4 linked regions of the Diceros bicornis minor genome follow. The protein of the gene in region 1 purifies or fractionates together with the protein of each later gene. This does not show direct contact. Links are inferred from orthologs where the notes say so. Each region holds a gene or a part of one and is shown on either strand. Other genes may lie near its edges. The genes, in order: XIAP, RAC1, XAF1 and SIVA1.

Region 1 (7,021 bases):
ACAAAAATAATATTTGTTCAATTCAATATCAACTTCTTATTTACCATTACTGTTTTTGTCTCCTCAAATCTACTCAAACAATGACCTTAAACAGTGCTACAGATTACATTTTATAATACTATTACCAGATTAGACCACAGAGATAAAGCTTGAGAACAGATAGCTCACGATAATCTCCCAGCCTCAAAAGAACAAGGGCATCTATTTTGCCATATTCATCTTTGGAACCTTACCACATAGTACAATGCCTGGCATATAGTAGGTGCTCAATAAATGTTTTTTAAAAATACTAAATAATAGCCTTTTTTTCCTGTTAGCACTAGCTACCAGACTGAAATATGAGACCAAACAAAAACAGTGAAATATCATTATTTCATATTTGGGGTCTCCAAGCATTTATAAAATAAACAAAGGATTTACTAAATAAATTAACGTTTACAACCAAATGTGAAGGGAACATTTACATTACTAAAATATTTCAAGCACTATACAAATTAACTAGTACATTAATTACAGTAATTCTTATCTACTGAAATGGGCCTGACTAACCTTTAGTCAGCATTACTTTGTCCACCTAGTTGGAGTCATCAAATGCACAAGAAAGCAATAAAATTACAGGTGTACAAGGAGCAAATTACAGTACAAGGGGCACTGGACTAGCACCTTGACCCTAGTCCAAGCTCTGCTAATAATCAGATATATAATCTTGGACAATTCATTTTTTTTTTCTTTGAGTCCTAATTAACTTAATAAAAACAAAAGAGCTGAACTACTAATCACCAGGGATCTTTCCAGCCTTAATTTTTTAAAATGATTCTTATCCACAAAGATTCTACATTCAGTTTTTATTGTGTCCAATTTGATATGCTGAATGTTACAGTTTGCTACATTGTTCGATAATCAAAAGCTTAGCACATTTTCTAAAAATATGTAAAGACTAGTAACATATTATTTTTACCATCTTCCATTAGGACCAATAGGAGAAAACCAAAGAAGAAACGTGAGCAGCCAATACTCAGGCCTGCTTTGCCAGCTGGGCTGACATGAACCACACTGAATTTCACAACACAAACCACTACTCATTCATAAATACATATATGTATATAAATACATAGACACATACCATTGACATATACTTATTTACATTGATATACATATGCGTGTGAACTTTACAACTTGTTTTTAATTATAAAACCAATACTTTATGGTAAGAAATTCAAACAGTACATTAGGCCACATGTGAAGTGCAAAGTAAAAAGTCTCCTACCTCTCTCTCTAGCCCCTATAAGTAACCACTGTTAACAGTTTTCTCATGTATCCTTCGAGAAATTATCTGAGCATATACAAGTACTGTATACATGTGTGCATGTGGATAAATCTTTTTAACCTGAACTGTTGCCACTTCTTGAATGATAGGGAAAAATATCTCAGGCACTGGCTTCATAAGCATGTTAAATATATTGAGAGTAGTAGCGCAGTTGTATGGCACAAAGTGGCATAGGCTTCAGAAATGTGCGTTGAGCTGAATACATTTAATTTTCTTGCTTGGAGGCTATGTAGACCAGTTTCGCAGAGAGTGGTGAGAAAGGAGCCAGACACCCGGGTTCTAATCTAAATAGTCGAGTAGCTTTAGGCCAGCCATGAAATCTTCCTGTGCCTTAGTTTCTGCTTTTGTAAAATAAGAGAGTTGGACTAACATCCCCTCCAACTCTAAAATGTTGTAATTCTAAGATGGCCGTCTGTAATAATAGTGCTCTCTTGAACTGATTGTAACAAATGTTAAGTAAAAAAAAAAAAGAGAAGAAACACACACTATAGCAACCTCCAGTCTTAACAAGAGTAAATTTCTATGCGTCATTAACTATCAAGGCATAGTTGTGACAGAACTAGTGACACAATTATATTTGAAAGCAAAGTAGTAGATTATTAAAATCTGATAGGTTTTTACAAAGCTTTGATTGATGTTTTTCTTTTTTTGGAGGGGGAGAAGACTGTTGCTTAGTTTCTGCAATAACTACTTCCCCTCCTTCGAAAAGAATACAATTAAGTGCATTATGGAGTTCAAATAATGAAACTGAAAGTTAGATTGAATTTTGTTTTACTCACAGAATATGCTGGGGAGATGACTAGGGCAGCAAAGCTTGCAAAGAATTAGATACTAGCTAGTTTCCTCTTCCGGAAGCTCTCTGGCTCCTATTCTTTCGGCTTCACACGCCCTCGCCAGACACACTCCACCCAGCCCCGTACGGGCCACAGGCATCAGATGGGGAGTGGGGAGGGGGCGGCCCCTTTGATCACTAAAAAAAAGTTCTTTGACTCGGTTTACCTTAGGGGTCACGGGTTTAGGGAGGCACCCGGCCGGCCTGAAGCCACCCACTCACGCCTGCCTTCAGCAGTCCCCGGAACCCGGGCAAGGTGCCCCGGTCGGGCCAGCCCCGCCGGGCAGGGGCAGCCTCCTCGCCCTCCCTCGCACCGCGGGGCCCGAGGGGAGGGAGGAGGAAGGGGGGCGGAGGAAGCCCGCACGGGCAGTACCCACTGCGCCCGGAGAGCCGGTCCGGATCGCCCGCGGCGCCCTTCGCGGTCGCGAGGGGAGGGTCCTGGAGGAGGGGCGGCCCAAGTCCCAATCTGGAAACGCCAACTCCCGTCGGCGGCCGGGCCCCAGCCTAGAGGGAAACGGAAGTCGCGTCGTCCCCCTCACTCGCACCCAACAGCCGGCCACTCCCCGGAGGAGCCCCGAGGCAGGGCGCTCGAAGCGCGGTCGCGGCAGGGCCTCGAAGAGCCCCCGCGCGCCGTCCGTCCGTCTCCCGGCCCCGGCCGCGCGACTGGGCCCCCGCCGTTTCATTCCCACTGCGCCCGCCAGGAGGCCAGCCTCCCGCCCTGCAAAGCCCCTCCCTCCCCCTCCGCCATTTTCCAGCTTACCCTCCGGGCCCGCGCGTCCCTCGATGAGCGCGAAGCCCGCCCAGGGCGCCGCCGAGGTCCTGCCACTTCCCCGGGCCGGAGGGGGGGGGCAGCCAGGACAAACCAAGCTCCCCACGGCCGCCCGACCCCCCAGCTGGCAACCAGAACCTGACGGAGCGGGCGCGCAGGCGCAGTGGGCACCTCGCAGTCCCCGCCTCCAGCTCACGCGTTTCCTCCTTCAGCCTCGAGGCGTTTTTTCCCACGGTTTCTACCTGCTGGGCCCTGGGGTTGATGAGTAGGGGCATGCTAGAGGTAAAAGGATGAAAAGAAAAAGAGAGCGAACATATTGAATTCTTGCTATGGACCAGGCGCTGTGGTAGGCATATAACGTGTTATTTGTTGTAATTTTGACAACTCTGTGAGGTAGGCATTCTCTTATTAAACCCATTTTACAGTGGAAACTGAAGCCCAGAGAGGATACCTACCCCAATAGCGCCCAGCTAGTAAACGGGGAACTGAGATGACAATATGATCCACTTCCAAGGAGAGAAGGATGAAAGGAAAAAGAAAGGAAGACACTCAGTAGGGGCAAAAGCGGATTGGGAGATGAAGGGAAAATGAATAAGGAAGAAGGAAAGCAGAAAGAAAGGAAACAAAGGAAATCTGTGTACATACAATGCTGATCACATCCTGGATTTATTTCAAATATGCTGTAGGATTGTCAGATGAATTTTGTTTTAGAAACTTGGGCTCCCTTACAGGCTAGTGTAGTGAGATGAGAGTTTCTGAATGAGAATGTCTCATTTCAAGGGGAGAATCGTAAGTATCACCTGCATCCTCAAATGATGCTGCCCTTCATGAAAAGGGAACTTGGAAGGAGAGGAAAGACTTCGTTTTGGTTCTTAGACTTTCACTAAGATATTATCCCCTCTGATCCTCTCCTATTGTCACAGCTCTGGGAATCTCACATATGACTTATTGCAATAATAATAACTGCAAATATTTACCTCATTTAATTCTCACAGCAATCTTATAAAATATGTAACTATCATTATCCCCATTTTACAGATGAAGACACTGAGGTTTAGAGAGTTTAGGTGGCTTGCCCGAAGTCACAGCCCTAGTATGTGTGGGAGCTGGAACAGTGATTCAAATCTAGATCTGTCAGATTACAGGTGGATCTGACCATTACCCAGTCTCCTAACTGGCCTCTCTATCCCTAGACCGGTCCCCGGCAGTCCAACCTTCAGAGGTCCATCTGAGTTAACCCTTCAACACTGCCTCCAGAATAATGTTAAAACTTCTTGACTTCTTGTTCACTCTCCCCTTGGGCCCCCTACCTATCTTCTAACAAAGTGGAACTACTCACTGTGCCCTGCCCATCCCCAGCTTTCCTGCCTTCCACTAATTTGTTCAAACTGCTCACTCTGTGAGGTGAAGCAACTGCCCCTTTTCAAAGCTTTCCCTTAGCCAAAGGTCATCTCTTCTTCCTCCTCTGAACTCTCTTCACACTTGAATTTTTCTTTCGGTTTTGTTCACATCTTTTAAAAATTGTGGTTAAATGTATATAACAAAATTTGCTGTTTTAACCATTTTTAAGTGTACAGTTCAGTGGCATTATGTACATTCACCATCCATCTCCAAAACTTTTCCATCTTATTTGGCACTTGAATTTGTGCCTGTGTTACGGAGCACAGTATTTTCTGCCATGTAGTATAGCTACTTGTGTATATGCCTTATCTCGTCTATGTTGTAAGTTCATTTATAGCAAGATCTATGTCTAACTCATTTTTGTAATTCCTCCAAAACGCTTGGAGTCATCTTTAATTCCCCTCTCTCCTTTCCCACATCCAATCCATCAGCAAATCCTGTCATCTCAATTTTCAGAATACATTCAGAATATCACCAATTCTCATCAACACCACTATGGCCCTAGTCCATCTCTCTCGGACATAAAAGCTTCCTCACTGGTCTCCCAGCTTACATCCTTGCCCCTCTCCAGTCTATTCGCACAGCAGCCAGAGTTATCCTAATAAGTCAGATCATTGTCATTTATCTGCTCAAATCCCTTCAATGGCTCCCCATTTCACTCAAAGTGAAAGCAACAGATTTATAAGGGCCCACAAAGGCTGTTGTAGCCAGCCATCAAGATGATCTCCAGTGATCGTTACCTCTTGCTCTTCGTGTCCTTGGATAGTTCTCTTCTACAATGAACCAGGGCTGACCTGTGTAACCAGTAGAATACAGTGGAAGTGATGGCATGTGACTTAAAAGGCTAGGTCATAAAAGGCATTGTGGTTTCTGCCTTGCTCTCTCTTGGATTGGCTGCTCTGGGGTCAGCCAGCTGTCAAGTCATGAGGATACTCAAACAGCATGTAGAGAGGCCCACACAGGGAAAAACTAAGTCCTCCCCTTCTCCATATCTCCTCCTATACCACCCACTGCCAACACCAACTTGTCAACCATGTGAGTGAGCCACCTTGGAAGAGGATTCTTCAGGCCCGGATTTCAGATAACTGTAACCTCTTAAGATCCAGAGCCAGAACCACCCAGCCAAGCCACTCTTGAATTCCTGTGTATTGTTGTTTTAAATAGCTAAATTTTAGGGGAATTTGTTACCCAGCAATAGATAACTAATAAAAAAGCCCTACACAATCAGGATCCTTCTTACCTTGATGTCCTCATCTGCTAATACTCTTTCTCCTTGTTCCTTTAGCTTTCCTGCCTCAGGGCCTTTGCACTTGCTGTTCACTCTGCCTGGAACACTTCTCCCAGATATCTCCATGGCTTGTCCTTCACCTCCTTCAACGTCTTTGCTTAATTGTCACCTTCTCAATAAGGCCTAACATCACCACCACATTCAAAATTACAACTTCTCCTAGCACTCCCAATCTTCCTTCCCTGCTCTCCTTTTTCCTTTTTGCATGGCCTGTATTACTTTCTAACATACTATATGGTTCTCTTATTTATTACGTTTATTTATTGTATATCCCCTCCCTCCCACACCTGCTAGAATATACGCTCCAAGAGGACAGGGATCTTTATTTCGTTCATTGATCTATTCCAAGTGCATAGAACAGTGGGCACAGTGTAGGTACTCAGAAGATATTTGTTGAGTGAGTGAATAAAAATTTCATAAACATGTCAGACCCTTGGTAAATACTTGTTGGATGAATTGTTGGTTGGAGGTGTGAACAGCAAAGACAGATATATCTGGGGTATGGTGTCTAGGTTTTATATACAGGGACACATAGAGGTGTGAAGTCAGAAAAACACAATCCCTGGAGAGGTTACTCTTATCTGTACAATGATGTTTTGTTGTAATTGTTTTTGGTTGAGGCTAAAGGCCGTGAGATGTAGACAGAGAAGAATTTCAAGGGTGGTCACCACACCTCAATGGCAGCTGGAGTGTATGAAAAGTAAAATGTGTAGTTATCTGCTGAGGGAAACAGCAAAGGTTTAGCACTAGAACACTTTTTGCAAAAGCAGTTATAAGTGAAAGCCCAAATAAATAAAATAGATAAAAGGCAGAATTGTTTCGAGTGAAGGAAGGAGAGGTGAGCACTGACTCCCACACCTTGCCCTCCGAGCATTCAGTTTTATGTACCTTCTTCTGGTGGGAAGGGGTACACATCTGCACAGGATTACTCTTAATTCATTATCAGAGAACAGCCTTTGTGAAGATCACTCATCTTGAACAGCATCTATCGGCTGCACCTGCCCCTCAGTCTCCTGACTTCTGCTCCGATATCTTGATCCCTAAACTCCACTCCCGCCTTGCTGCCACAAAGACTGCGACTGTCACTTCCCCTCTTTGAGCAGTCATAAAGATGCCTGCCCTTATCTTGTGCCTGAAAAACGCAAGGGGCTCAGCCAGCCCTCCCTTTCCCTTCTCTGCCTTTATCTTCCAGGGACCCAATCATACAGAAGAGACTTGTTCTTGTTTGGAGTGGGGACAGAAGAGCACACTCTCCTCTCAAGCTAATCGAAAATCCCATCTGGACTTTCTATATACTAATTTATTCCTATGGTTATACACAATCGAGTCAGTCTGCAAAACTCCCATAATCCAACAACAATGTCAAGGTCGAGGTGTTGTCATGGTGTGTCTAGGGCAGGGTGG
Region 2 (7,403 bases), on another chromosome or scaffold:
TGGTGTACATTCCTATAAAGATGACATCATGGAAGGCATTTATCATGCTCAACCAAAAAAATTCCTGGAGAGCAACGTGTAAATTAGACATAGGGCTAGAGAGACCACTAGCCCAATCTGGAGTGAAATCAGGGAGCCTTCTAGTCAACCAAAATAACACTATTAATAATGATTGTTTATATGTGAGATGCTGTTTTACCTAAGTTAAACTGAAAGAAAAATCTTGGGGCAGAGGTTTCCCAAACAAAAGCGACAGTCCGTGTGTTCAGGAAGGACTAACAGAATTAGAATCAACAGAGAGATTAACAGAACAAAAAAGTATCAAATTTTATCTCATATTTCATACTCAATGCCAAATGATTTGCTATATAGCAAATAATGCATTAGAAGAATATAGGCTGAATGATCGTAGTTATAATATGGTTATGACATAGCTTTTAACCATAATTCTAAGAATATTTTTGAAATAAGGAAGCTTGCAATTTGTAGAACCTCAGTTTGCCTTCACTGCTTCAAGTGCCCTTAATTGCCTGAAAATCCACAACATTGACTTCTCCACCCCACAAAATTTAGACCCACACTTACAGCATTAACAATTTTTGAATAAAGAACATTCCAACTATGTCACCAGGAATATATCTTATTCGAGGGAAAGCAGAAAAATATTTTTGGCATGGAAAATTATGTATCTAGATTTTTCACTGAAGTATTGTTTGCTACATACCATCCCTTAAATAAAGTAATACAGCTTAAATTTTTTTTTGTAAAGGTACATTTCACTTCTAATATGGCTTAGCCCTAGTCAACGTCAGTGTCAAATATAGTATCAAAAAACTGACTGAATAGGCCAGGAACTGTGTTTCATGCCTAACACTCCCTTCACAGAGCCTAGCAGTGCCTCAGAGTAACAGAAACAGAAATAATGATACTGGCAGCTGGCACTTACTCAGCAGGGGCCAGGCACCTGTGAGGCACTTAACATCTAGCATCTTGTTTAATCCTCACAATGTCCCCTAGGGGCACCTCTCCTGGGGGCGATGAGCTATACCCTCAGGTTTTCCCCATAAGTGGTGAGGTGGGGATTTAAAGGAAGGATCCAGATCCCATAGTAGGCATTCAACAAGTATTTGACCAAACAAGCCAATACAAACAGTAGAGGTCCATAATCTGTAAGTACTATTAAATACACTAAATATATCCGTTGTGCTTATGTGTTAGTTATTTTAAAGTAAGAATATTACATACTGTGTGTGGTTAGATATTGAATTATCAGCAATTTGATTTTTTAAAAAACTAGTATTACTTCATATTCTAAGCATTATTGATTAAGCATTTTTAATTTTTAAAGGAAATTCAGATAATTTAAAATGTTCCTAAGACAAAGTGACGTGTTTAGCTAATTCATTATGCAAAAGGATCAAAAGTTCATTTAAACGACTTCACTGTTAAACCAGCTAATTAGACATTTTCCCCCACATCAAAGTAAAGCTGCCTTTTAAAAGGTTAAAAAAAAACCAAGTACCACACATATTCCTAAGTAGGTGAAACTAACAATTTTTAGTTATTTACATAGAACCATGAAGGGTTAATAATCCCTCACATTTGTCAGTCTGACAAATCCGACAGACCAGCATCTTTAATAAATAAGTTGTCTAACTGTCCTTCCTGCATCTGAATTAGTTAGAGAAACAATTTCAAACGTCTAACTTACAATGACCGAAAAAAGCTGAGAATTCACAAATTCACTGAGAGGCATAAAAGCACCATCAGTCCTAATGACAAGTTTGGGGACTATTAATCAAAAGGAACAGTGATGCCAGAACTCTTCCTTCGACTTTACAAGACTCAAAAAATGGACCAATTGCATTCTGAGTTTGATGAAACTGGTAGTAATTCCTGGAGCTTCCTTGTTAACGCCCAACTACTCGAGCAACGCTGAGACACACAATTTTGCTCGGATTACACTGAGATTCTTGTTTCTATGGGAGAAAAAAAGTGCATAAGACAAGTCTTGTCTTCCTCGAGGGCCTGTAACCACCACGGACAGGCATGAAAAGAAATGTCTTGAGTCACAGGGCAGCTCGGCTCCGGGAGCCTGTTCTGCTACATCCCATACCTAACCCATGAATCGAAAGGCAATTTCTTTCTTTTTTTTTCCTCAATGACCACACCACGTTCAGAGAACGTTCTCAATCACACCCAGCTTCTCGCAGTGAGAATCTTAGAAGTTTCTCCAGGGAAATAGCAAAAATGATCATTTAAAAAATCCTAAAAGTGGCGAAGCAGTACAAGTGGAAGACACCCCCCAGTAACTCAGTGAAGGGTCACCCAACCAGCCCGTGCAAATATTCGTCAAATATCACCGACCCGACCGGCGCCACCCTCGGACGCTCTCAGTGGGGCTCGAGAGGTTCATACAAAAACCAAGGAAGGGTCCTGATCCGTAACAAGGCGACGCTGCAAGCCCACTTAATCCACAGGCCGACGCGGGAGGGCGGCGGGGCGGCGCTGGGGGAGCTCGGCCTGGCCGGCGGTCAGCGGCGCGGGGAGCAGGCGGGAGGGTGGAGTTCACTTTTCCCTCCGGCCGCGACCGGTGGTGCCCTCCCCCACCGAAAAAAAAAAACCAGCGGGAACCAGGCCCGCGCCGCCCGAGCCCGGGGAGGGGTGGCGGCCTGCGCCCCCCGCCCCGCAGAGGCCCAGGCCCCACGCGAGCCCGTGGCGCGCGCCCGCCCGCCCGGCCCGACCCCCGGTCCTCCGGCCCCCGGCCCGGCCCCGCACTCACCCGTCTCCCACCACCACACACTTGATGGCCTGCATCTGGGCCGCTCGCTGGGCCGCGGCGGCGGCGGCCGGGCGCTGAGGCGAGAAGCGGCGGGCTCGGGGCGCGGCGGGCGGACGGGCGCGCGGCTGCGGGCGGCGGGGCGCGGGGTGCCGGGGCCGCGGTCCACGCCGCCTCGCCCTCCGCCGACGGGAAGCCGAAGCCCAGCAGCGGCCACCACCCAAAGCTGGGGAAAACTGCAGAGAAACAGGAAATGGCTGCTCCACTCACATCCGGCCTCCCCTCCCCCGCGCCGGCGCCGCCGCTCCCAGGCTCCGGGGCGGGGCCGCTCCCGCCCGCGCGGCTCCCGGGGTTCCTCTCGGCTTCGGGGACGCTCGGGAGCGCTCGGCTCCAGCCGCTGGGCGCGCCTCGGAGGGCGGCGGGGCGGGCCGGCCGCCATCTTTGCGCTCTGACAGACGCGGGCCCAGCCCGCCCCGGCCGGGCCTGGCGTCGGCCTTGGCAGGATCTCTGGGTTCCAGACACCCCGCTCCCCGCGTCCCCGACCAACTCCAGCCCGAGGCCATGCAAAGGGCGTTCACCTATATTTTTTATGTGAGAACCATAACTTATGTGATGACGAGGTCCTTCTAGAAAATTCGGAACCTAAAGCTATAAAAAAGAGAAGACCATACGCCATAGCATTATTCAGAGATAAGAGATGTTCATTCAGGAAAATTAATTGTCTTTACTGCGTTGAGCGTTTACATGTCCTGTTGCTTTGCGCCGAGTTCTGGAGATAATGTTTGTTCGCAGACCATTGAAATGCCGATATTTTGGTATATTTCCTCTCAGTTATTTCTTTATGTGCATAACAAACATGTTTTAAACAAAAGTAAGAAATCATGCTGAATCGTTACAACGTTTTTAATGGCTGCTTACTATTCGTTGCATTATGCACATGTACCTTAATTTAACCAATTCCTCTATTATTGGACAGTTGAATTGTCCCTATTTGAGAAGCAATGCTGGGATGAACAAGTTTATGCAAGAATCTTTATAGCTCTATTTCTTTAGACTACGTTTCCTACTGGGTTAATAGGCGTGAATGTTTCTAAAGCTTTTTATACGTGTTGCTGCATTGTCCTCCTGCAAGGTAATAACCAGTGCTCACTCCCATCAACTCTGTTAGCGAGTGGACCCTCCAGGGGAGTTGATTTCCCATGATGTTTTCATCTTGTAGGCCTTCTCTTCCTATAACGCGCTCTGTTGCTCAGTATTGTAACAATTTTCTGAAATCAGACCTTTTCCACACAAGTTTTTTTTTAAAAACATTTTTGTCTTGCAATTATTTCAAAATAAACATGTTCCCAGGGCAAAGGACACCTCCTTTTTGCTTTGTTCATAACGATCTCCCATAAAGAAGAGTTGAAATTTCAAGGATAGGAGAACAACAGTGTCCCCTTTGCTGATAGAAATTTCCAGTGACTCTATGACAAGCCTAAACTACTAAGTGTAGTTACTTTCATGTTTTTAGACCAGGAGCAAATAAAAGGGTGAGGCCTTGGGTCAATAATTTAATCCAACTGAACAAACATTTGAGTGCTGCTGTGGCGTAAGGGACTCATAGGAAATGAACGAGATGGGGACACAGTTGCCAGGATATCAGGCCCACTGTGCTCAGTGCTCTAAGTGGGGTACAAATATGGTGTTTACTAGAAGGCAAAAAACTATATTCATGATAATAAAAAAGCTTTCATCAAAGAGATTAGTTGAAAGATGGGTCTGGGTAGGATTTTTGGTGGGTCTTGATGGAGTAAGAAGAAAAGAGTTTTCCACAGAGAGAAGAAAGTCCTGGAAATTAGGGACTCAGGACCATCCTCAGGTGGGACGCAGAGGGAGCAAGCATTTGCCCTGCTCCAGGTCTAGAATCCAGACAGGTAATTGCAGGCTGGATTACAGACTGCCTTGAATGTGGACTTATTCTGATATGACATGAGTTTTTGAGCAAACACATGACACAACCATATTCAGATCATTATTTCTCTAGATTGATAAAATGAAAGTTCACCATACAAGAGGTTTGACTGTGACTATAAAATAACACAATTAATGTACAACCCACATATGAAAATCAGCTTTAATTTAAAACTGAGTTAACTTAAAGCTTCTCGAAAGTTGGCCTTGAGTGTCTATTTGTAATGTGCCCCATGGCAACACATGGTCCAAAAAAGTTAAGTTCAAATTAAAAAAGCAAATATTGAACTATGTGTGTTTCTGAATGTGCTACACAGTTATTTATCAAGTGCCTGCTATGTATGCAATCATATACCCTACTTAGGTCCTTCATTCAAGGTCGATCATTTATTTGGGTCCAAGTGTTGGAAATGTGAAAGGAACAAAACAGATCCCTGCCATCAGAGAACATACGTTCTAGTGGGGGAGATGCATAATAGGCAAATGAACATTTGATATTCATTCCCGGGTTAACATGATGGATTGGATGCAAGTATTTGATTTCACTTCTACCCAAAACCCCGCTAAAACTTCAGAAAAGGAATTTAAAAGACATAATCCTAGAACAGAAAGAACAGGGAAGGAGACAACAGAGGTTGGACACTGGAATGTGTGGACAGACTGGTTGTAACTGATGTAGCCACCTAGACTGGCAGTGGGAAAGCTGATCAGCACCAGATCTACCCCCAGAGAATCATCGGAGGGCTGGGAACTGGCAGCACCTGGCACCCATGGAAGGGGGGTGGAAAGGAGAGGAGGATAAGAAAGATGGGGTGAAAGCTGAGAAGCAGCAGCAGCAGGCAGTCTACATCACCTCCTGTCATGCCCCAGACGAGGTGGCCGCCTTCTCCTTCCCCTACAAAAGACTGGAGCTTCCTCTCTAGAGGGGGTAAACTAGTGGGTATTTGGATGCCTGGAAACCAAAGCAAAAATGAAGGGATTTAGTAGCCCTATGCTGAATCTTGACCCTCCCCAACCCTTTCCCTCATGGCTCCTGCTGACAGTGTCCCTGAGAATAGAAGGGTGGAGGGTCAGGGGCCTCTTCTCTAGGGAACCTGTCCAGCCCAGGAGGAAAGACCAAACACATGTCAACATGGGGAGGGGGCTCCAGGAAGCCTCCCACTCCTTCTGAGCTGCCCATTAACTCTTAGTTTCTCACCCTTGATCAGACAACCAAGGATTAAAAGATATATGAGGAAAAACTCCAGAATGGAAGCTAGAAATCAAAATAATCCAAATAGGGCCGGCCCCGTGGCTTAGTGGTTAAGTGCGTGCGCTCCGCTGCTGGCGGCCGGGGTTTGATCCCGGGCACGCACTGACGCACTGCTTCTCTGGCCATGCTGAGGCCGCGTCCCACATACAGCAACTAGAAGGATGTGCAGCTATGACCTACAACTATCTGCTGGGGCTTTGGGGGAAAAAATAAAGAAAGAAAATTAAAAAAAATAATAATAATAATCCAAATAAATAAATTTGGGGAAAACAAAAACAGGGCAAGGAGAAGGAAACCTAAAAAAAAAAAAGCTATCATTGTCTTCAGATAAGAGACTATAATTCATTCGTGAATAAGAAGGGAGTGCTGTTAAAAAAGGAACATCCAGATGATTAAAAAAAACAAAAACAAAAGCAAGCTAGCAAAAATGAAAAACTCAACAGAAAGATTGGAACATAGAAGGCCAGCCTGGTGGCATAGTGGTTAAGTTCCCACACTCCACTTCCGCGGCCCAGTGTTCACAGGTTCGAATCCTGGGCGCGGTCCGATGCATCATCAAGCCATGCTGTGGCAGCATCCCACATACAAAATAGAGGAAGGTGGGCACAGATGTTAGCTCAGAGCCAATCTTCCTCAGCAAAAAGAGGAAGACTGGCAACAGATGTTAGCTCAGGGCCAATCTCCCTCACCAAAAAAAAAAGAAAGGTTGGAACGCTGAGTTGAGGAAATCTCTCGGAAAACCTAAAAGACGTGGAGAGATAGAAAATAGGAAATGGTGAGAACACTAGAGAAGCCGCCCAGGAGGTCCAACCATCCCCATCATATCCTATAATAGAAAAGAAAGAACAAAGAAAAAGCAAAGGAGGAAAACATCCACAAAAACATTAAGGAAATTTCCCAGACCTGAAGGACAGGAGTTTACTGATGGAAAGTGCCAGCCCAGTGACTGAAAATAGACCCAACCAGAGTACATCATTGTGCAACTTCAGAACAATGGGGACAGATAATAGCCTACAAGCTTTCAAAGAGAAAACACAAGTCATAGGGAAACAGGAAATAGAATGGCTTCAAGTTTCCCAGCAGTTACACTGGTGGAGCCATGCCTTCAAGATTCCAAAGGAAAATAATTTTCAACCAAGAATTCTACTCATAGCCAAACTATTGATCAAGTGGGCGGGTAAAATAGGAACATTTTCAGACAAGTAAGTTCTCCAAAATTTTACCTCCCACACACCATATCCCAGGAAGCTACTGGAACAAGTGTTCTTCCAGTAGGAGGAAATAAACCAAAAGAAGCTATGAGAAGCAGAAACGGGAGATCTAGCACAGCAGAGATCTAACACCCTCCCCGCCAGGGATGGTGACTGTTGTATGACCAGCCCACTTTGGAGCAGGGAAACTTTGTGGCCATAAACCACA
Region 3 (6,880 bases), on another chromosome or scaffold:
TGGGCCTGTTCACCCCGACACACGTCCGTGTGCTGGGCCAGCTCTCGGAGCATGATGGGCTGGCCGCAGTGTAGGCAGAGCTCTGTCCGGTTGCCGCAGTGGTGCTCGTGGATCTCCACCTTGCTGAGGCGCACGGCCAGCTTACAGAACTTACACTCAACAGGGCGGTCTGGGCATTCCGTGGCCTGCGGGGAGGCAGGCAGGACGGGCATGGTCACTGGCTTGCAGTGACTGCAGCCCTGTTGGTCAGGATAGGGATATTTGCTTATTTCCCTAGGAACTGAGGCCAATAAGAGAAAGCCGATGGGAAGTGCTAGAGGGGGCACTCTCCTCTGGGAATACAGCTCTCTTGGGCTCATGGACCGGGGCAAGCCCTTCTGACCAGCATCTAGGGGACAGCAGGACCTGTGTTCCTGTGGCGGGCTAGTTCTCCATTTTTCCCCGCGCCGACTTGGGTGAGAAGAGAGAGGTCAAGTGGAAATCTTGATTATTGGCCCCTCCTCGCCCTTCCTCTCCTCCCAGGTTGGCTGCTTGGCGGTTAAGGAGAAATCACTCTGGACTCTCACCTCATGAAACTCCAGCAAGTGCTTCTGCACGCTCTGCTGACACATCGCACACCAGACCTAAACACAGAGAGAAATGCAGCTCCCACCCAGCTCTTGCTGCCTCTCCCCACATCTGCCTCAGTTCATGTGTTTTAGGTCCGGGTCTGTGAGCTCCTCGGGGGTGGGGATCAGGTGTGGCTCCTCAGGCTCTCTGCAGCACCGGGCCCGTGTGCAAGAAGTGTTTGTGGGACCCACAGAGTTGAAATGGATGCCTGAGCTTGAGAATCAGAAAGACAGAAAAGGGACCCCAGGAGGGACTGACATGAAAGAGCAGGAAAGAAAAGTCAGCCTTTGACTGGCCTTGGCCATGACTGCCTTCTAGAACTTTCCTTTCCTGCTTCCCCTCTTCACAAATCTCAAAAGAACATTCAACCTTTTCTGAAACAGGGACCCCTTGTCTTGGCCGAACCCATCAGCCTGTAGGGAAAGGATTGGGAATGGGAAAAGCGGGGTAGACTCAGTTCAGTGTGAGAAAGGCAGAGTCACCATCTCCACGTCACAGACGGGGGCTGGGGCGTGCAGGGGCTAAATGGTTAGCCCCTACCAGCCAAGCAAGTTACTGCAGCGAGGACTAGACTCTGGCTGGCCTCCCCGCGCTCCACCTCTGCCTCCTCACCTGCTGGTGCCCGTTCTCACAATGCTCTTCCTTCTTTGCCAGGGGGACGGGTCCCTTGCACTCCGGGCAGAGGACCAGGAACAGAAGGCAGTGGGCCTCGTGGAGGGCCAAGTGGGCAGGGGCCATGCTTCTTTTGCTGCAGGAGCAAAGGGGGAAGGAAAACAAGCTGACTTCTTGGCATAAAACATGGAGTCATATTTCATACCCGGGCTGCTGGGTTAAGATCCTTCGAGGCCTCAAGCATTGAAAACATGATGATGATGCCCCCTCCCCATGTTGCTCCCCATTCAGAACAACACAAAATCATAAAATAAGTGTAAGGACGCTCCACAAAGCTCTCACATTGCCCGGATCGAGTGGGGCTGGGTGAGAGGGAGCAGGAGGAGAGATTACCAGGGGCCTGAGGAGACCTAGGGGTGGTGGGCAGGCTCACTATCTTGACTGTGGTGATGGCTTCATGGGGATATACACGTGCCAAATGCGCCACATAGTACACTTCAAAAATGAACCATAAATGCAGTTTATGTCCATCGTACCCTGGTAAAGCTGTTTGAAAAGCGAAAGAACAAATATCAAATTCCTTCCAGTATTTTGTCTTGTTTTCAAGTGCTCCCCCGCGTGGTACACGGCTGCTTGGGAACCCAGCCCCGCCACGCCCACGCCCCCTGCAAGGGCAACACCGGCTTTCAGGATCTCCACAGCGAGAGCTTCCCACGGCTCCGAGAGCTGAGGCCTCCACTGATGCCCTGCCTCCAGGCTGACCCGTGCAACTCAGAGAGATCCCGAGGCCCTTCTTGAAGACCCCAAAGAACAGAAGCTTCTGAGCCTCCCGGGTCCCGGGCAGGTGGTTTCTTAACCCTCCTCCTCACTGCAAAATGCCTCCTTTCATTTCCATCAGCTCTTGCTTGTGGCAGCTTGGGAGAAAGGAAACTCAGAGGCTGCAGCCCTAAAGCCCCAGTGAGGATGAGAGTTGCACCCCCAAGGCCCTGGCACAGGGGATGTGGCCAGAGGGGAGCAGCCAGAGCCTCACTCCTCTTGATCTGAACAAGCTCATGGCTTCTGCGCTGCCCAGATGGACCAAGCCTTCTCCACTTTCCCGTTCCTCCTCTGTTCTTGCCCCCTGCCTGGCCTGGCCCCTTTCTCTCTCTGCTCTCCCTGCCCCGTCCCCTCTGCTCTTCTTCCTGAGCTGGTCCACACACCAGGGAGCCAGGAGGGTCTGTCTGGAGCAAAGCTCTCTGGGAAGGATCCTCTGTCCCCCTCACCCCACCCCGCCCCACAGCTCCCTCTCAAGGAGAGGTTGGGAACGGTCCTGGAGAACCTCCGTGGGCCCCTTTCTGTCAAAGACCGGTGTGAAGACTTGGTGATCAGAACCACAAATTAGGACCCAAGATCTGACAAGCCTGAGTAGCCCAGCAGGGACAATTAGCCTGGCTATTTGAATTAGGACTGTCCCAGAAAGTCTAAAATATCTCGGGGAGGGGGCGGGGTTCAGTGATATTAAGGTAATGCTGCCCACCTCTTGCCATCTCATCATCTCAGAGATCCACTGAGTCTAAACCTTCTTACCTGGGGCACAGTGCCCACCCCGTCCCACCCATAGCAATGTCCGGACCCTTTCTCCTCACTTCAGAAGCCGCCTTGTCCTGCTGCCCCTCTCACCAGCCAGCCTCAGGCCCACAGCTAGGGAAAGCCACTTCTTACCAGTTCCTGCATGCCTGGAAGGCCCCCTCCATTTCTGGTCTCCGCAGTCTTCCTGTTGAGTTTCTGTTTCTCGCAGACTAGAAAACAAAACTGAAAGTGTTCCCACAACCCGGCCCACAGCTCTGGGGAGGGAGGGGTTTTTCAGAATTCCCAGCCCAGGGCTGCTCCAAGGTTCTTGCAGCTGGACACTCCCAGGAAGCCCGTCTGTAGCTTGGCCAGCCTAGCCTGCCCCCACTGCCTCCGCCTGCCTGTGCTGTCACCCCGTGCTGCTGTCACTGACCATTTCTACGACCTCGAGGAAGGGAGCCAGAGGCCAGGCCTCCCCTGGGCAGCAGCCCCTCCTCTCACCCAGGCTGGCTTCACTGCCTCTGAGTATCTCTATCCCCTTCCACAGAACACTTCCACAGAACTCCCCTCTCCTGTTCCTCTTGCTGGTCCTTCCTCGGCTGGAGAGACATGGCTTGCTGTGTTGAATTGGAAGGCTGCTTCCTGAGAGCAGCTCCTGGACTTCCTGTCTCCTCCTCTGGTCCTAGGTGGTGACGACTTTGAAAACAGGGTCCAGAAGGAATTGGGGATGCAGAGTGGTGTGTGCCAAGACTGCAGGCTTTCAGGCCACATCACACAGTAGCTTGGTGACCTAGGGCAACAGCCTAGCTCCCTGAGCTTCTCTTCCCTCACTTGTAAATAATTACAGCAAACATGGCTGTAAGGCTGACGGGGTGACAGACAAGTGAGGAAGCTTCTATTTTCATCATCCCCATCTGCAGATAAAGAAACCGAGGCAGTGAGGGGCGATGTGACTTGCACACGTCACATAGCCAGGAGGCAGGAGAATCAGGCTTTGAACCCAGGCAAAGTGGCCCCCGGCCTGTCTCTCCTCAATGGCCATAGGGTTGGGAGCTCAGAGTTCGAATCCTGATTAACTGGCAGCTTGAGTGACCTCAGCCTTTTGGGCTTCTGTTTCTTCATTTTTTGGACTCAACTGGGGAACTGGGGGACTTTAGGAGTCTGTATGCTCCCAGAAATTGTGTGCACAATTGCTTTCATGTATGTGCCTTTTCCCAAGAAAGAGCCAATGTTTTTAGCAGACACTCAAAAGGAGTCCATGACCCGGACAGTTATAAATGACTGGACAAATTGACCCAAAGTTTTGAGATTCAAAGAAATCAAGTTCTGTTAAAGGCAACACATGTCCAAAATTATATGTGCATAATTGAATCAAGTGAACAGAGGAGATTTGTTTGTCTACCTGTGTTCTTTTCACAGGGAGAAGCAGGGTGCAATTCGTTAGATAAATAAAAATGATGAAACAGTGTATCACATAGCTCAATGAGAATTTAAAAATATGCAGATAATTGCAACTGCATTAGAAACATTTGGATATTATATACTTCATATTGAAATTCTTTAAGAGGATTTAATATGTATTTCTGTTTCCCAGAATTTTATTTGTAAAAAATCAAGCCTATCTTTAATTAGCTTCAATAATCACCTTTATTGTTTATAAACACAGTTAAGATATTAGTGTGTAGTTGGAGAATTTTGATTGTAGTCTTGCACATGTATCTAAGCATTTTAATTTATTTCAACTTTAGTGAGCACACCATATACACAACTTTACAACAGCTGATAAATACCTAGCAGCTTTTCACTAATACATGAAGAAGTCCCTCCTGATGTTCAGAATGTCAGAAAGCAAAAAGGAATCATGAAGCAAAGATGAGTAACACGCAAAGCACCTAGATTGGGGCCTGGCCATTTGTCGGGGCTCTTGGTGCTGGGGTGGAGGACAGTGGCTTCCAAACTTGTCCACACATTGGAATCGCTTAGGGAACTTACAGAAATCCACTGATGCCTGCCCAACCCCAGAGAGTGTGACTTCACTGGTCCAGGTGGGACTGTGGGGTTTTGAAAGGTCCTAGGTGATTCTAACGTGCAGAGAAGCCAGGAGCCACTGGTGTAGGAGGAAAAGGCTGGTTCCAAGTTGCAGGGCCAGCGCTGTGATTTAAGCCTTTGGCCCTTGGCTTTCCATCTGAAGACTAAAGGGATGGGGGCAGATGAGCGTCATTGAAAATTCCAGAAGTAGAGATGTGCAGCGTGGGGACAGACACTTGGTGCTCATGGAGGAAAGATGGGCTGGGTTGCTGCCGAGGGGAGAGCCGGGATCATTTGGTGGAAATCTCCGGAGGCCCTGAGCTTCCTTCCCATCACTACCCTGTCCCTCGATGAACCCGTCAGGGATGGAGGGGACTCGGCCCCAGGAGTGAGGCTGGGAGGGTCTAGGATGCGGTGAATGCCAAGCTCTCATGTCCCCTGTGGGTGAGCTCACAAGAAAGCCCACATAAGCCAAGGTGCAGACAAGCTTTTCATCCAAGCAGGCCCAGGGGAGGCCACCGGAAGAGAAGGGGTGGTGGCCTGCTGGATGGGGTGCTTCAGGGATGTGGGAACAGGATGTGGAGGCTGCTTACATACCCCCCCATCCGCCCACTGGATAGACCTACTCTAGTGTGATCCCCCCCGGGGTCCTCAGAGCATTCCCAGACCCCAGAAGCAGCTGTGCTAACAGAAAGGCTCTGAATGATGAGTGAGGAGCGATGACACAGGCAGGAGGAGAGAATTCTTGTGAAGTCTGCAGATGGGATGGGGGCCCCTCGGAGGAGGATAATGGGATTAAGGACTAGGCCAGACGGGCTCCAGCCTCCTGCCAGACTGTAAAATTCAGGCACCAAATGAGGAACAGTGGGCAGTAATCATAATGATCAGAGGGATAAGAGGTAATAGCCAATGAAGGCTTAAGCATTTTCCATGTCCCAGGCATTATGCTAAGCATTTTACAGGCATTAATTTTTGTGTGCGTGTGTGTGAGGAAGATCGGCCCTGAGCTAACATCTGTTGCCAATCTTCCTCTTTTTATTGAGGAAGATGGGCCCTGAGCTAACAGCCATGACCTTCTTCCTCTGTTGTATATATGGGACACCTGCCACACCGTGGCTTGATGAGCGGTGCATAGGTCTGTGCCCAGGATCTGAATCCTCGATCCCCGGACTGCCGAAGCAGAGCATGTGAATCACTACACCACCAGGCCAGCCTCCATTAATTTTTTTTTTTTAATCTGCCCAACAGCTCTGGCACAAGAATTATTATTAGCCCCATTTTGCACCTATAGAAACGGAGGCACAGAGAGTTTAAGGACTTTGCTCAAGGTCACACAGCGAGTGCCAGAGCTGGGATTCAAAACAGGTTGATCTGACTCAGGGATCTACGTGTCTAAGCAAGACACGGTCCACCTTGTTAGACAGCTGGTGGTGGGGGAGACCCCGGTTAGCATCCTGACTCCCTTCCTCATCAGCTGGGCAAATTCCTTAATCTCTTGGACCTTTGCCTCGCACTCCTGTCTATCTCGGGGCAGGCAGTCTTGTGAATATCCACAATAACGAAAAAAACTGAGCTTTCACACCTCGTCTCCTGCTGGGATCCCCCAGAATGGAGGGGGGTGGTAGAAATGTAAAAGAGCGGTGCACAGGTGGGGCGTCCCAGAGCGCAGGAATCAGGGACAGGGCCATGGGGGTGGAATTGGAAAGGACTATGAGTTTTTTCATCTCTGCCCTAATTTTCTTCCAAGATGTTTTCTCTTTCCAGACTGTCCACCCCTGCACCATCCCTTCCCTTACATATCAAAATCCCACCAGTTCTTCAAGTCCAACTCCAATGCGGTCACTGGTAGAGGACCTCCCTCCTCTGTCTCTGGTTATGGTCAGTTGCTTGTCTGTTTGTTGCCCCAACTTGCCCCCACTCAACTATGGGTGTAGACAATTTGAGATTCATCACCTCTTTCACCAGGCTCTTTCTGCCAGAGGGACCCACATGCCTTGTGCTTAGTAGGCAGTGAAGCGCTATGCTGTGCGTTGGTGGGCAAACACTGGCCAACCTGAATGGATGTGAAGGATGCGTGTCTGGG
Region 4 (7,353 bases), on another chromosome or scaffold:
CTCCTCCCCCGACTGCCTGCACCAGAACCCTCAGGGCCTCCACCCTGTGTGTCTAGCATCTGTGCCTCAAACCGTGGCTCCTGCGCCACCAGTTAACAAAGAGGTTCCTGGGCCCCACCCAGACCCGGGGCTGGGCCGGAGACTGTGGTTTTTAACCAGCGGCATGGGTGACAGTCTGAGACACACACAACACTGCACAGGGACCTAATCGGGAGGGTTCCACCTGGACGGGACTGTGTGGGGGAGCTGCAGGTGGAGAGCAGGTGGGACCCCCAGGTGGGTTTGTGCTCCTTTTCTGATCTCGCAGTTAGAAGCTGTTTCACAATGCCCAGACTTGGATGGCGGCAGAGGCTCCTGATGTCAGGAGACTTCCGGTGTTCACCCAGCTCCTGAGACTCTGGGCCCAGCTCCTGCCTGCCCGGGAAGGTAAAGTTCCTGGGCAGACAGTGTCACAAATGCAGAGAACTGCACTTGCCACATCCATCCTGGGCACATAGCTGTGAAGTGCCGGCTGTCAGCCTCACTCACCAGCTTCAGAGGCCTGGGCTCGGCTTCTGGTCAGTCGGCCGTCCGCTCCGATTAGCATCTGCCCACGTGCAGCCCGAGAGGCCTCCGTGGGGCTGGGCTTTGGGGACTCCGGCAGGTCAACAATGGCACAGCCTTCCTCCCACACGTGGTCCATGTAGGCCTGGGCCCCTCGAAAAAGGAGTTGCTTGGTCTTCTCTGGGGAAGACAAATCATTCCTTCCATTTACACCTTTGCAGCATGGAAGCCCTCGCATAGCCAGTCTGTCCTGCAAGCTGGGCATGGTGAGGCCTCCTTCGTGCTCTGTCATCACGTCACCCTGGCCTATGCTGCTCCCTGGTGAGCTGAGCCCCACTCTGCCCTCCCACCTCTCCTTTCCTAGGCTCAGCTGCCACCTCCTGCAGGAAAGTTCTGGACCCTACAGCTGCAGCCGGGCTCCCTCTTCTGTCACTCTGCTCATTATCCACAAAGCTCTCTGGATGAGCGGCCTCACCTCACTGCTGTTCCTCTCCTCCCCAGCACCCTGCAAGCCGGCTATGTATGGCACAGAGGGAGCTCTGCGCTGTGAGGCACTAATTCACAGCTGGAGGCTCAGAGCTGTGCCTGCGACCCCCAGGCAGTGTGCACCCTCTTCCCCTCCCGCAGAGCTGCTGGCAAAAGATGAGGCAGCACCCAGCTCCTGACAAAGGTATCCCAAAAATTTCCAGACCTCTCTGGGCCGTGGACACTCTCCCACCCCTGGAGGTGAAGTGGCTGCTCAGCACCCAGAGCAGTGGTTTTTCATTGGACTACATGTCAGTCACCCAGGGGCTTTCACAGGACCAAATGCCTGGTGCCAGCCCCAGAAATGCTTTGTTTGTGTTCTTCTGCCTTGTCCCAACAGAGCCCGGGTGCAGATCCCAGAAGCTACTGGCTCTATGTGAAATCGACAGGAAAACAGTTATCAGGTAACTCAAACAGAGTGGCTGATGATGACCCTGCCACACCCAGCTCCTCCCACAGGAAGGAATTATAATGGGATGGGAATGGGGGCAGTCACGTGATGACTGCTAATGCTTGTCTTCAAGGGCTTCTAGTCCATTCAAGGTAAGGAGGCCAGGGTTTGGGCTTGGAATTCGTTACACATGAGTTCAAACTGGGTGTCCTGCTCTGATTACTGAACGACCAGGGGGCCCAGCACTCTCCCTGACAGGGCCCTGTGAGTGACAAGCCCCTGTAAACGCCCCAGGATGATGTGGTCAAGGGAGAGGGTGAAGAGCTAGACTGAGTCCCGTTCGTTTTTAACTCTTCTTTCTGCCTGCTCAGTGTTTACACATTTTGAACATGCTGATGGGGGCGCACACAGTCCCCACAGCTTCACTCTTCTTTATCTGATGGGGGGAGCAGCAGGAGAAAGAGAACTGGGGCCTCCTGAGGCTGGGTTCTTCCCCACATGCCCAAAGCACAGCAGCACCACTCCATTACAAACAGCCAGGTCATTTCCTAACTCGGCCATGGGGGTGAACCTTGTGCCCCCAACCACTAGGTAAGTAAACTCCACTTTGTAGCTGCCTCAGGGTATTAGTCACCCCAAACTGATAATCAATAATATCGATGCACCTAAAAATCTGCGTCAGAAAGCCAGATGAGAAGCCCTCCGATAGCTCACTACACTCACACATCACCTTGAATGGGACATTCCAGCCACACCGAGTCCTACTGCGCTCTCCTGCTTCCTTGCTTTTGCATACTCTGTTCCCTCTCCCTGGAGTTCCCCTTCTCTCCCTCTCTGCCTGCCTTAACTCCTACTCACTCTGCAGGGTTCTGCTTAGTCTCTGTTCCTCCAGGAGACCTCTGACACCCCTGCAGGGGGGTCTGCCCTGATGACCTCTGGAGATTCCTTCTCCTGCTGGTCCCCCAGTGGACCGGGGAGCTCCCGCCAGGCAAGGTCTCCGCGCGCTACAGTGCCTGGCAGGGAGGGCGCGCTCCACAAACACCTCTGAGGTTGGAATGGGTACTTCTGCCGGCTTACTCCACCCAGGACGTCCCGCTCCCCGACCTCTCTCTGGGCTTGAGGAATCCTAGTGCTAACGAGACCAGGGCTGGTCACTGGTCGAGCACCTCCCGCAGGACAGAGCCCCCAGGCAGTACGTTTAGGGGGCCAGTGGGCGCCAGGGGCAGGGACACTTCCTGTGGCCAGCGCGGGTGGACGTGGACGCATTCAGGCCCCACTCACTGCTCCCAAGCCCCGGCCGGACGGCTGGTCCCGCAGCCTCCAGGCTCCCGGGGCCGCGGCCTGCGGAGACCGCCCGCCCAGGGCCCGCGTCGCCCGAGGGCGCCCAACCCCGCACTCACCGAAGATCTCCCGTGAGTACCGCTCGGCGCACACGCCGCGGCTCAGCTCCCTCTGGCCCACGCGGACCTTGAGCTGCAGCGGGGCCGCGTCCGCGAAGGGGCAGCCCCGCTTGGGCATGGCCGCGGCCCGGAGCGGCGCAGCCCGCCAGCCGCGCCTCGCCGCGACCCGTGACGTCACAGCCTCGCGCCAAGTCCCGCGCGGGACGGGGGCGGGGCTCGCGTGCGGCGCGGTGCGGGATAGGCCGGGAGCGAGGGTGTGGGCGGGGCTTGTGCGAGGCGCAGCGCAGGATAGGCCGGGGGCGAGGACGGGGGCGGGGCTCGTGCGCCGGGGACGCGACTCGGCGGCGCGGGAACCGCCACGGGCTAGGTCGAGTGTCGGAGTGGGCAGGTCGGGGGCGGGGCGAGTTGGCGGCGCGGGAGAGGCCGAGGACGGGGGCGGGACTCGCGCGCGGCGCGGTGCAGGATAGGCCATGGGCGAGGGCGGGGGCGGGGCTCATGCGCCGGAGGGCGGGGCTCGGCGGCGCGGGAAAGGCCGAGGGCGACATCGAGTAGAGAGTCGGCGTGATGGCGCAGGAGGGCGTGGGGTGTCCCACCTTTTTTTTTTAGTCCATAAACAACTGTCGAAACTGGTTATATTTCCTCGTTTAAATCACCAAAATTCTAGGATGATTCACTTTTTCCTAATTTTTAATTTGGAGGAATTCCCAGCCCTCCCGGAAGTGGAGGGTGACGTATGAACGCCCCGGGGTCACGTCATCGGCCGCGCTCCTGGCCCCGCCGCGTCATGCGGAGCACGCCCGTCACGTCCGGACCCCGCGACGCGGGCGCCGGGCGTGTTCTGACGGAGCTACGCGTCGCCCCTGCGCAGGCGCTCTCTGCCCAGCTTGCCTCCGTGGCCTGGCGGTGCGCTTTCCAGCGGGTTCGTGCCGTCGCGTCCCACCCCCGGCTCCCGCCTGCCAGGCGGACGCGGCCTTGTCGTTCAGCCTGCCCCTCTGTGCCCTGCACTTCTTGAGACGAAGGCCGGATGCCTTGCTCTTGCACACCACGTCACACGCGACACCGCGTCACATGCGACGTCCGCGTCTTACAAGATATTGCGTCACACGACGTCCACGTCACACGCGACGCCGCCTCACACGCGACGTCCACGCCGCACGCGACGCCGCGCCACCCGTGTCACGCACGACGCGGCGTCACTCACGATGCCGCGTCCCACCGGCAAAGTGCTCGGCGGCGACAGGCGCGGGCAGGGCCGGCCTGTGCTCCGCGCCCCGCCGCCTCCCTCCCGGGGGGCGCCCCTCCTCCTGGGGGGCCAGGCCGCTGGGGGCTCCTCGGGGGCTCGTCGCCGCGTCGCCGGCATCATCGTGCTTGCCCTGTTTCAGGGAGACGACTTGAGGGTGCGCGGTTCTAGAGCCCCGTGTGCGGAGACGCACACTTGGTTTGTCCTAGCCCGGAAATCGATGAATGCCCGGGAGTCTTGCTTTTAGTTTTAGGGGATTTTTTAAGATTTGTGTTCGGATTTGAAACTGCCTTAGGATCTTTTAAGACACAGCAAATAGATGCAAAACGTGGTGATTAAAAGAGAATCTTGTCATCTCTTACATCCCAATCTAATTTCAGTTTAAGAAGTATGTGTCGGGGGCCCACACTCAGTGCTGTATTAGTTTGCTAGGGCAGCCGTAACCAAGTGCCCAGATGGGGCAGCTTAAACGCTTACTCTCTCCCCATCCTGGAGGCTGGAGATCTGAGGTCAGGGTGTCTCAGGGCTGGTTCCTCCCAAGGCCTCTCTCCTGGGCGTGCAGACACCAGTCTTCTCCCTGTGTCCTCACGCGGTCGTCCCTCTGTGCGTGGCTGTGTCCTGATCTCTTCTTATAGGGACACCAGTACTACTGGATTAGAGCCCACCTGTATGAGCTCTTTAAAACTTAATTACTTCCCAGTTCCTCAAAAAATTGAAAATAGAACTACCATGTGATCCAGCAATCCCACCTCTGGTATATGAAGGCAATAGACAGGATCTCCAAGCGATATCTGCACCCCACCTTCAGTGTGGCACTATTCACAATAGCCAAGACAGGTGTTACGAAAGGTTCGGGGATTCGATCGGAGACGTAAAAGACACTTTCCACTCCAAACAAATGGACCGAAGGTATATTTTATTATATAGAGGATAGTAAAGGCGACAGTCTGCAAACAGATCCAAATAGGTCAAATATTAAGAGGGAAAAAACATCAGCCTGACTGGAAAGGGAAAACACCCACATCGGCTGAAGAGAAATGACACAAATCAACCGGAAAGAGAAACACCAGGTTGACCGAAAAGAGAACACATCAAATCAATTACTTCATATCAAATCAATTACTTCACACCAAATCAGTTACTCACAACATCCACGCCCCACTGCCGGGAGAGCCCTGTCAATCGACGCGGCTGGGCAAGGATCACACGTCCTGGGCAAGGTGTCCCTTCCACAGGTGGAACTCTCACTAGGTCTCAGTTTCCAGCAGTTTTTATACCATCAGTAATTTTCAGAGTAAGCAATTACAGAGTTTGCAGAGCAAGCATTTAGTGTTTCCATGCACAAAATAGTTATCAGTGGCGTACGTGCACTGAGCCCCCTGGCTAACGTCCCAGCCCACTAGTTGTGTACATGCATTGTTCTCTTTGGTTATCGTCTCAGCCCGGCACAGATGACCAGTCCATTCCGAGCTACGACGCTCCAAGAGCCTTGAAATGTTACAACTTGCAACTCTCTCCGTGGGAGAAAGGCCAGTTTCCGGGAAAAGGCCAGTTCCCACCACACAGAAAGCACTTTGTATTTCTTTGTGTGCTGGTGGCTATAGGTCAATGGAGCGGCCAAACATGGCTGTACTCATGTCAAGACAACAGGGAACAACCTAAGTGTCTGCCAACAGACGAATGGGTAAAGAAAATGTGGTGTATGTGAAGGGTACCTGAGGGCTACTGTAAATACTCCATAAGAACATGGTTACCCTTTACCCTTATTCCCAACACAGCCACAGACGAAAAGAAGTTAGTACCCACGAAAAACCTAGATAAAGAACCTCAATCCCCATTATACGTATTTGTTGAGCCCAAATGCTTGCTTCACAGATCACACATCATTATAGCTTGTCAATTTGCTGTTTTCTTGTTTAACCAGAGGGGTGACTTAGTGGTCACAAGGATTATGAGCTTGTTTGGTAGAAGAAAAAGAACGCCTTTAAGGAAGTTATGACCACCAGGTGACCCGACCCCCGCTGCCACTGGCACCAAGAAGTCTAGTTGTTCAAGGTCTTATCTGAAGTGAAAGAAACACGGACTTCCCCTTTGTTTTCCTGAAACTCCACCTCCCAAGCCCCTTAGCCCTATAAAGTCCCCCTGCTTCCTTGTTTTGTTAAGGTGGATCTGAGAGAACCTATTCTCCTTCCTTGTTTTGGCCAACTTGAATAAACCTTCCTCTACCTCCAAGCACCAGTGTCTCAGTGATTGGCTTACTGCACATCAGGCACACGGACCTGAGATTAAGAGTTTGGTGTGATATATATACTGTGAAAATTAATATAGGTAAACCTCATTTAAAATGGAGTCAGGGGACAGCCCCATGGTGTAGTGGGTAAGTTAGGTGTGCTCCGCTTTGGTGGCCCAGGTTCACAGGTTTGGATCCCAGGCATGGACCTACACCACTACTTAGCCATGCTGTGGCAGTGACCCACATACAAAATAGAGGAAGATTGGCACAGATGTTAGCTCAGGGAATCTTCCTCACCAAAAACAGAAAAGAAAAGAAATGCTAAAAATAAATAAATAAATAAATAAAACGGAGTCAGGAGGCCAGAAGGGGGATCTCCCATGCGGTACCACTCTTGGTCAATTACAGGAAAGGAGAATAGTCATTACAGACCCTAACACAAGTCCTCAATACAAAAGAATCATCAATTATAGGAAGAAATGTATATTGCATCCCAAATAGAAATCGATGACCCCAGCAGCTCAGCCAATGAGCAACCGTCACCACCCTGAACTCTTGCTTTTCTCAGATGGACTTTCCTTCAAAGCAACCCCTCCCAATTTCCTCCTTTTTCCCTATAAAATAACATTCTTCTCCTTTGGTTGTTGGATTTGTCTATGCTCTGCCATAGCATGCATATCCCAAACTGCAATTCTTTTGCTATTCCTGAATAAACTCATTTCGCTGGTAAAATAACTGGCTGTTTTTTTTTTTTTTTTAAGGAAGATCAGCCCTGAGCTAACATCCATGCTAATCCTCCTCTTTTTGCTGAGGAAGACCGGCTCTGAGCTAACATCTATTGCCAATCCTCCTCCTTTTTTTCCCTAAAGCCCCAGTAGATAGTTGTATGTCATAGTTGCACATCCTTCTAGTTGACGTATGTGGGACGCCGCCTCAGCATGGCTGAACAAGCGGTGCATTGGTGCACGCCCAGGATCCGAACCCGGGCCACCAGTATCGGAGCGTGCGCACTTAACCGCTA

The links.
Region 2: the proteins of XIAP (region 1) and RAC1 purify together in Homo sapiens (affinity purification with western blotting; 3 studies listed by BioGRID and IntAct, with this or other methods). This does not show direct contact. The link is inferred for Diceros bicornis minor from reciprocal best matches to the Homo sapiens genes XIAP and RAC1.
Region 3: the proteins of XIAP (region 1) and XAF1 purify together in Homo sapiens (affinity purification with western blotting; 5 studies listed by BioGRID). This does not show direct contact. The link is inferred for Diceros bicornis minor from reciprocal best matches to the Homo sapiens genes XIAP and XAF1.
Region 4: the proteins of XIAP (region 1) and SIVA1 purify together in Homo sapiens (affinity purification with western blotting; 3 studies listed by BioGRID). This does not show direct contact. The link is inferred for Diceros bicornis minor from reciprocal best matches to the Homo sapiens genes XIAP and SIVA1.

What each region holds. Positions count from the first base shown.
Region 1 is NC_080781.1:113,718,148-113,725,168, reverse strand, and holds the start of XIAP (E3 ubiquitin-protein ligase XIAP), read right to left. Parts: upstream 3,009-7,021; 5' UTR 2,920-3,008; intron 2,664-2,919; exon of another isoform or gene 2,533-2,663; intron 2,298-2,532; exon of another isoform or gene 2,107-2,297; intron 1-2,106.
Region 2 is NC_080765.1:8,894,346-8,901,748, reverse strand, and holds the start of RAC1 (ras-related C3 botulinum toxin substrate 1), read right to left. Parts: upstream 3,004-7,403; 5' UTR 2,818-3,003; coding exon 2,783-2,817; intron 1-2,782. UniProt on the Homo sapiens protein: Plasma membrane-associated small GTPase which cycles between active GTP-bound and inactive GDP-bound states.
Region 3 is NC_080757.1:13,158,876-13,165,755, reverse strand, and holds the start of XAF1 (XIAP-associated factor 1), read right to left. Parts: upstream 3,024-6,880; 5' UTR 2,955-3,023; coding exon 2,923-2,954; intron 1,358-2,922; coding exon 1,222-1,357; intron 624-1,221; coding exon 567-623; intron 186-566; coding exon 1-185. UniProt on the Homo sapiens protein: Seems to function as a negative regulator of members of the IAP (inhibitor of apoptosis protein) family. Inhibits anti-caspase activity of BIRC4. Induces cleavage and inactivation of BIRC4 independent of caspase activation.
Region 4 is NC_080763.1:49,286,977-49,294,329, reverse strand, and holds the start of SIVA1 (apoptosis regulatory protein Siva), read right to left. Parts: upstream 3,016-7,353; 5' UTR 2,978-3,015; coding exon 2,860-2,977; intron 724-2,859; coding exon 529-723; intron 1-528. UniProt on the Homo sapiens protein: Induces CD27-mediated apoptosis. Inhibits BCL2L1 isoform Bcl-x(L) anti-apoptotic activity. Inhibits activation of NF-kappa-B and promotes T-cell receptor-mediated apoptosis.